Caenorhabditis elegans: one gene and its partner. The protein of the gene in region 1 interacts with the protein of each later gene in a pairwise test. Each region holds a gene or a part of one and is shown in the gene's direction. Other genes may lie near its edges.

The links. Proteins that work in one complex are often made in the same cells at the same time.
Region 2: the proteins of pax-1 (region 1) and azin-1 interact in a two-hybrid assay, tested with the Caenorhabditis elegans proteins (one large-scale study listed by BioGRID).

What each region holds. Positions count from the first base shown.
Region 1 is NC_003283.11:8,222,953-8,226,709, forward strand, and holds pax-1 (Paired box protein 1 homolog), read left to right. Parts: upstream 1-1,981; 5' UTR 1,982-2,012; coding exon 2,013-2,172; intron 2,173-2,419; coding exon 2,420-2,676; intron 2,677-2,728; coding exon 2,729-3,085; 3' UTR 3,086-3,164; downstream 3,165-3,757. Other genes in the region: air-1 (Aurora kinase), read left to right, coding at 86-286; K07C11.10 (BBSome-interacting protein 1), read right to left, coding at 3,199-3,297, 3,472-3,600, 3,681-3,747.
Region 2 is NC_003279.8:3,828,450-3,832,206, forward strand, and holds the start of azin-1 (Antizyme inhibitor 1), read left to right. Parts: upstream 1-2,112; 5' UTR 2,113-2,735; coding exon of another isoform or gene 2,736-2,858; intron 2,859-2,912; coding exon of another isoform or gene 2,913-3,021; intron 3,022-3,385; coding exon of another isoform or gene 3,386-3,428; 5' UTR 3,429-3,569; coding exon of another isoform or gene 3,570-3,686; 5' UTR 3,687-3,732; intron 3,733-3,757. Other genes in the region: F53F10.8 (Transmembrane protein 234 homolog), read left to right, coding at 42-233.

The sequences.
Region 1 (3,757 bases):
TCCTTTTCTCCTCGGGACAGTTCTCAAACATTCATTTCCATTTTGTTTCCCAAGTAGTTTCATCTAAATTGCTTCTTTTTTGCAGATTCCAAGTGTTGTGACTGACGGAGCTGCCAGTTTGATAAATGCAATAATCAAAAAGGAACCCCAAGAACGTCTCCCACTTGTTGACATCATGGCTCATCCGTGGATTAAGGAAATGAAGCAACGCGAAGACATTGAAGTTCCACTCTTCATTTCGACGCTCACGAAATCCAGTCGCAATAATTCTACAGCCAATCAATAAAAGCTCTGTCTATTGTCCATTAAAGTCTCAACCTTTTCTACTTGTCTTTCCAAACAATTATCATCTGCACTTTCCCTTCTTTAGAACCGTATATCATACGGCTACTAACTTCTTATTTTCGCTAATCCATTTAAGCAATTTATCCGTTTTCATCCTTTTGTTTCTTCTCACACTGACAACGAGAAGGATTTAAATTTATCTAAATCAATTATTCTTTATTTGTGTGTGTGTAAAATCATTAGATTCCCGTGAAAGTACTGTATCGTGTGTTCCCGTCTGCCCCATTAATTTTTTCCCAAATTTCGCATCCAAGTGTCTCGATTATCACATAAACGATGGTGCACCTCTTTGTTCATTGGTTCTCAGAAGAAATACAATGCTTTCTGCTAAAAGCCAAAACTCAAACAGTGGTGGCGGTAAGTAGAAGGCTGCCGCCTTTTTTGGCACTGTTTTGTTCCGCCAAAAAAGTAGCATGGTATGCAAACATTATAACGAGTTAACACTACATTGGTAGGAGTGGGAACGTTTTTTGGAACAGCTAAAGTTTGAAACATAAAGCGGAGGTTTAACAACGTTAAGTGGTATCTGGCAGAGAGCCTTAAATATCGTACATTCGCAAAAACTTTATCCTAGCTAGGTGCTATGTGCTACATGAAAAATTCTAGTTTTTTCTGTACATTTCAGAATTTCAAAATTCGTATAGTACATTTTCCATATCAAATGAAAAAATCTGTAAATTTTGGAACCTCACTATGACTGAGTTCGTGCCGAGACCCACTCAGGAAAACATCGTGTGCCTTTTAACTGATATCTCAGCATTTCGTGAAAATACAATATAAACATTTCTTTCTAATGTTTAATAATAACTGTAATCCTTGAAATGAACTGATCAATTAGATACTAGAATAATGCACAAAAATGTTTAATATTTGCGCGAATAACTGGTCGTTACCATCTGGTTGTTACATATCCGGTGATTACTAACCATTTATTTGATGGAGATTTGGATATATGTAGTCAATTTAGGTGAGTACAAACAAGATGACCCGTAGATATGCACTAGAGGTGTTTGTCAAGTGGTTGATTGGATATGACGATATTACGTTGCTCAATTTTTTGAATTTTTATATTTATCTGTTTTCATAAACAATTTAGCAGCTAGAAAAAAACAGTGACATTTCTCAGGTGTCCGTGTGTTCCATGCCTTCGAAATCGAAGAAAATCACGCAGTCGTTGGTGGAAAAGCAATGCCGTCACATGTGGACTGAGATGTACTAAAAAACCTAAGAATAAATACCGTATCAACACCTGGATTTGACAAGTTTATGTCAAAACAGTTTATTCTTCAGAAATTAACACCACAGGAGTCTATAGGCTTCGAAAAGATTTGTGACGTCAGATATTTAAACCACGAGCTTCCACGACTTCAGATGTTAAAACACACCCGTGTAACTTCATCCTTAAATGGAATCATGGGTAAAACATTGTCAAGTTCAACTGCCTACAGTAACCAACAATCATATTCCCACCGGCTGGTTCCTATTTGGCAAAGTCCCATCGTTTCCCCCTAATAATCTCAACAAATACCTATGCAGCTACTGTTTGCCCCCCCCCCCTTGCCTTATAATAGGCGGAGCCTTGAGAGCTTTGAGATTAAAGAAGCTCTGCACGGACCAGTTACTTTACGGACCACGTACCGCATTGGTACAGTCACACTCGCTCGAGCATGAACTGCGACACCGCTCAACCGTGGATGATGTCTTCTTATCATCCATCAACAACATCTGATGTCTTCTGGACAACAACACCATCGTCTACTTCAACGACTCCAAGCTCTGATAATGGAATTCAACAATATTCGTCGATATCTACGTCATCGGGTTACGGTAAGTACAATTGTCTGTAATTCGGCTTTTCATTTAAGAATTACATGGGTTTTACATGGATTTTTTTAGTAACTTATTCCACTGGCAGTGAAAACCTTTATAGATTCTTAATAATTAGTTACTATATCTTTAAAGAAATTGTCTGAAATCCTTACAGTATGAGATGAAAGTTAAGACAATTCTTTCTAGCAATGAAATCAAGCTAATAGAAACTATCAGTATTATTTTTAACGCAACTTTTTATCAGCCCCTGCCAACTCTCCTGCCAAAACTGCCGAAGTTAATCAACTTGGTGGAGTTTTCGTAAATGGAAGACCACTTCCATTTGAGATGCGTTGTAAAATAGTTGAGCTCTCGAGACAAGGAACACGACCGTGTGACATCTCTCGTCAACTAAAAATCAGTCATGGATGCGTTTCGAAAATATTGACTCGGTTCTCAGAAAATGGAACAATAATGCCTGGAACAATTGGAGGATCTAGACCGAGAGTTACTACGCCTAAAGTGAGTTTGAATCCGGCGTAGATTTTTCCAAAATTTTTTTTATTTTTTTCAGGTTGTTGAATATATTCGAAGTTTGAAGCGCTCTGATCCAGGAATTTTTGCATGGGAGATTCGAGATCGACTTATTTCTGCCGACATTTGCGATAGAGCTAACCTTCCATCAGTCAGTAGTATAAGCAGAATTCTTAGGAATAAAAACGGAGGAAATAGTTCAAGCTCATCAAGCTCTCAACTTCGATACATCAGAGATCAGCTCGCCGAGCAGCAGCAGCAACAACATCTACAACAACATCAGTATATGGAATATAACAATAATGAATTAAATCAAATTTCTGGAAATCTTGATTATCAAGTTTCATCTTCAAATACACCGCCATCTTATGATTCATATCACTTTATTGCAAATTGAATTGATAATTGCGGAAATATTTTTTTTGGCAATCGTATGATTATGTAAAGTTGTACAAAATAAATTAATTGATTGATTATTCATTAATGAGCGAATGTTCATGTAACATTTCGTCAATCATCAGCAGTCCAGACATCAGCTTCCTTTGGCTCAGAAGTTGATGGCCCTTCATTGCTCTTTGGCGACTCGGCCTCAGCAGACTCCGGAGTTCTCTGGAAATATATTTAAAAATTTCAATCGCTCATTTACAACACTGAAGTGTTAAAATTTTAATTAAAAACGTACCAGAATAGTACAATGTAATACCCTATCTGACTCCACTAATTACAAAACATGGTTTTTGGAAAATTTCTAAAGTTTCCAACAAAAAAAACCAAAATTCTCACCGCCTTCTGTCCTTCTGGGACCTGAAGTCTCTCCATCTGCTCACGCTGCATTTTCTCGAGCTTCTGAGTAGTGATGGTCTTCAATGGGATAAGCTTTGGCTTACAGAAGATCGGAGTCAACGTTTCGTCCTAAAATTCATAAGTACCAACAGCAATTAAAATATATCAAAACAATAATTTTCAAAAATTGAACATAAAAAAAACCGTACCTGGAACAAGTAGCACTCGTCGACAAATAACTTCTCTTCCAACTTCTCGCCTTGAGACATTACAACTCTAAGAAAAA
Region 2 (3,757 bases), on another chromosome or scaffold:
AACACATTGAACAAGTTATATAGAATAACAATGTATTTTAGGTAATGTTCAACGCTCTTGTTGTAAACTTTCCTGTTACTGTTGTTGTTCCGTGTGTGAATGCGATTCAGTTCATCGCAACAATTACAGTCGGGTGGTTGATGGGAGAGAAAATGCAGGTGTCCACAAGGAAGCAGAAAATTGGAATGACCATTTCATCGTTGGCAATTATTGGAATGCTGATTATCGATTAAATTAAATGTGAAAAAAAACGTTATTTTCATGTAAAACGCACTTTTTAGACGGAAAAAGTCAAATTTTCAGCCAAAATTTTGCTGAAATTTCAAAGAACCATATAAATCCGATTTTTTGTATTTGGTGAGGCTCACACTACCAACTACAATCAATTTTAGTCTCTAAATACCATTGCTCTGGTTGCGTGTCTGGAAAATCTCAAAGTTTTCATTTTCAGGATCGAGGAGACGCCGGAGTTCCACCAAAACGAGCACGCCACGGAAATTGATGCACAGAATCTCAATTTGTTCCCTTTATTCACCTAATTTATAGATTTTTTTTCTTAAAATTACAATTTTTATCGCTTTTTCTGAATTTTAACCCCCCAAAACATCAAAAACTCGTCGATCTCTGTAATGTCCTTCCCGATTCCCATGATATTTAAATGTTTCCTCCTTTTTTGATGTTTCTTCCCCGATTTTTCCCGAAAAAAATACAATTGTAACTTGTCGACAAATACGTGTGTTATCGATTAAAGTTTTATTTATCGATTAAATTCTCTCTGTGAAATTCGTTTGAATAATAATTTATTTGCCTTTCTTTCTTGAGCAGTTTTTGCTTTTCGGGTTTCCTTTTTTCAGAAAATAAAAATATTTTTTATAATATTTTGAATTGAATCAACATTAGCTATAGCTATAGCTTCATCGATTTGTTGTCCAAGAATCAGAAAATATTTATTTACAAAATGCATTAATGATATCATCTGACGAGAGACTGTGCGAAAGTGAGAGGTTCAAGACACTTTCGCAATAAAGCGTGTTTGCATTGCCGCGTTTTTCTTGAATTTTTTTTATTTCGGTCGAAATATTCCTTAGTTTTTCTCCTTTTAAACGAATTTCAGTTCATTTTTCACACGAAATTTGCTCCGCGTTGTTCTCTTACAATTTTCTACGATTTTTGTGTAATCGATTGAAAAGTGTAACTCGATAATTAGCGCGTTTTATCAGATCCCCAATATCTCAAGCTCTATTCCCAGAAAGTTTAATGATTACGAAGCGAAGAACATTAAAAAAACTCGTTTGCTGACCACCACGGTGTCATGTGACCACTTTTCTTCCGCGACAGCCTTCGAAAACACGCCAAAATAGAAGAGCGCGGAATTGTGATGCATGCTCTCGGAGCCCCCGCTTCTCTGCTCTCTGGCCCCAAGTCTGCGTCTCGATTCTCTTGGAAAAATTTCTTTTTTTCTCTTTTCTATCACAAGCCGCCCGCACAATTTTTTCCTCTCGGCTTCATTTTCCAATCAGTCACCAGATTTTTTCTTAATTGTCTTCTGCCCTTGTCTGCTGTTCAGGATGAACTTTGTTCGGGAGCTTCTGCGGAAATTCATAATTTTCAAAGACTTCCAGCTTTGAAAGTTATCTTTTAAGTAAAAAATCAAAAAAAAATCTAAAATTTCGCAACTTCTCTCAACTCACACTCACGTGCCAAGGTCATTCACACTTTCTCTCGCCAGTAAAATCAAATTGTGATAAAAATAACTTGATAAATTAAATATTCAATTATTTAATATTATTTTTAAATTTAAAAAACTATCAAATTTCTTCGTAATTGAAAACGGCTGACGGTATACCGATCTTATATCGCGACCTCCCTCCTTATCAAACGCCAAGTTTCACAAGCAACTTGCCATTTGTCTTTTAAAAATCACTTTGCCTTCTTTCTTATCTTTTCCATAGAAATTTTTTTTGCGGAGCAGATTATTCTAAAAATCAATCAATTTCTAGCATTTCGCTCCTATTCATTTTTCTTGTGACCGGAAGTTAATTCAATTTCTATTTAGAATCAATCAAAAACCTTGTGTTTGTTACGCAATGCTCTTTTCTGAATTTCGTTGTTTGTTCCCCATAAAAATAAAAGTTCTAAACACCATCAAAACACCGGTGTTCGTGTTTTTCGGTCGCTTTTTTTCGATTTTTGAACTGTGTCTGTTGCCGCCTCCTTCTAGGGACGAACGGAAAACAACTGACTCTCTGACATCATCACAGGATATCTTTAAGAAGCTGCTTCCCTCTTTTTCTTTTTCTTGTGTGTGCGTTATTCTAGAAAATTCAAAAAGTTTGTGTGACGTCGTTCCTCGTGACACTCTTCTTATCATTTAGAACTGCTTGCTCTATACAGTTTTCTGATTACAAGTCATCTCTTTCTTTGTCTACTTTCCTAATTCTGACAGGCATTATTAGCATTTTCTATAGAAAGAACATCACATAACGATGGTTACGTGGAAGTTTAAAGGTATTTCAACAGAAAATCGATAAATGTTGAATTTTTCCACGCATCAAAATCAATAAAATAAAATTATATTGTGTCGGTTATCTTACGTTTCGTATTCTCTTCCTCCTAATTTCTCCATTAACACCATCAATCAATCCAATCAATAATTTTTCCAAATAGAATCCGTGCCCCGTCGTGCTCGGATTTGAACTCGATACCTTGCGTGTGAACTACTAACACAAATCGTCTTGTTCCGTGCACTCCAAGGGAGAGAGTGTGCATGGAAGCTTGCCCGAACTGTCCCCAATTCGTCCAAGATTCCCTCCGCCGAGGAATCTAACGAGTCTTCCATACCGCCCTTAAGTGGCGCTGTGAGTTTTTTTTTGTAATATTTGAATTCTCAGAAAATAGTTGTTTTATTACAGGTAGTCGATCAGATCTCTAAGATCTACGCGGAGCCTCAACTTCGCGCCAGTCAAATCCAACTCGACAAGAACGCCGAGCCACCTTGGGATCCAGATCCGAAAGCCTGAGGTTAATACAGTGAATTTTCTTATGTGCTTCTACGAGTTTACATAAGTGCAAAACGGTGTTGTCACGCTCGTCGAATTAATTTAAAATATTTGGTGTGCGCGCCTTTAAGATTAATGTACAGATTTTTCTTTCAAATCTCAGCCGATTTTTCTAGTGTATTTTATAGTTTTTGTGTTATTTATTTATTTAACTGAAATAGATAGTTATTTGCACACAAAATCTTAACAGTAATCTTAAAGGCGCATACATCAAATATTCTAGATTTCGCGCACGTGCCGAGACCATGTTGCTATCGTGTACCTTAAACTCGTAGAAGTAGACATTTGACCAAAAATGTTTCTAAAAATGATTTAACAAATTTCAGACGTCAACTCTGTTCTTCAATCGCTTCCCGTTCTGCCGACTGACCGACTCTCTCTCTTCACATCTATAACCTTTTCTTCATTTTCTATTCAATCGCCCAGTAGCGTGCGTACGAGCCGGTAATCAATAGACCGCCTCGTTTCGCCCGTTTTCCTGGTCTTCCGTCAATTATCAAAATTTCGACGGTGACCTCATCTCATTCCTCGTCTCCAGCCCGTCTCTGTCCTCCGGACGACGTCTCGTGGATCTCGCGTGAAGAGCTCGCATCGCGTGTTTCCAACAACCGTCACATCCCGCCATAACTTGGCACATTCAATTTCCCCATTAAACAACAAATCGATATAAAATGTGAGTTTAATTAATTATTTTTTTC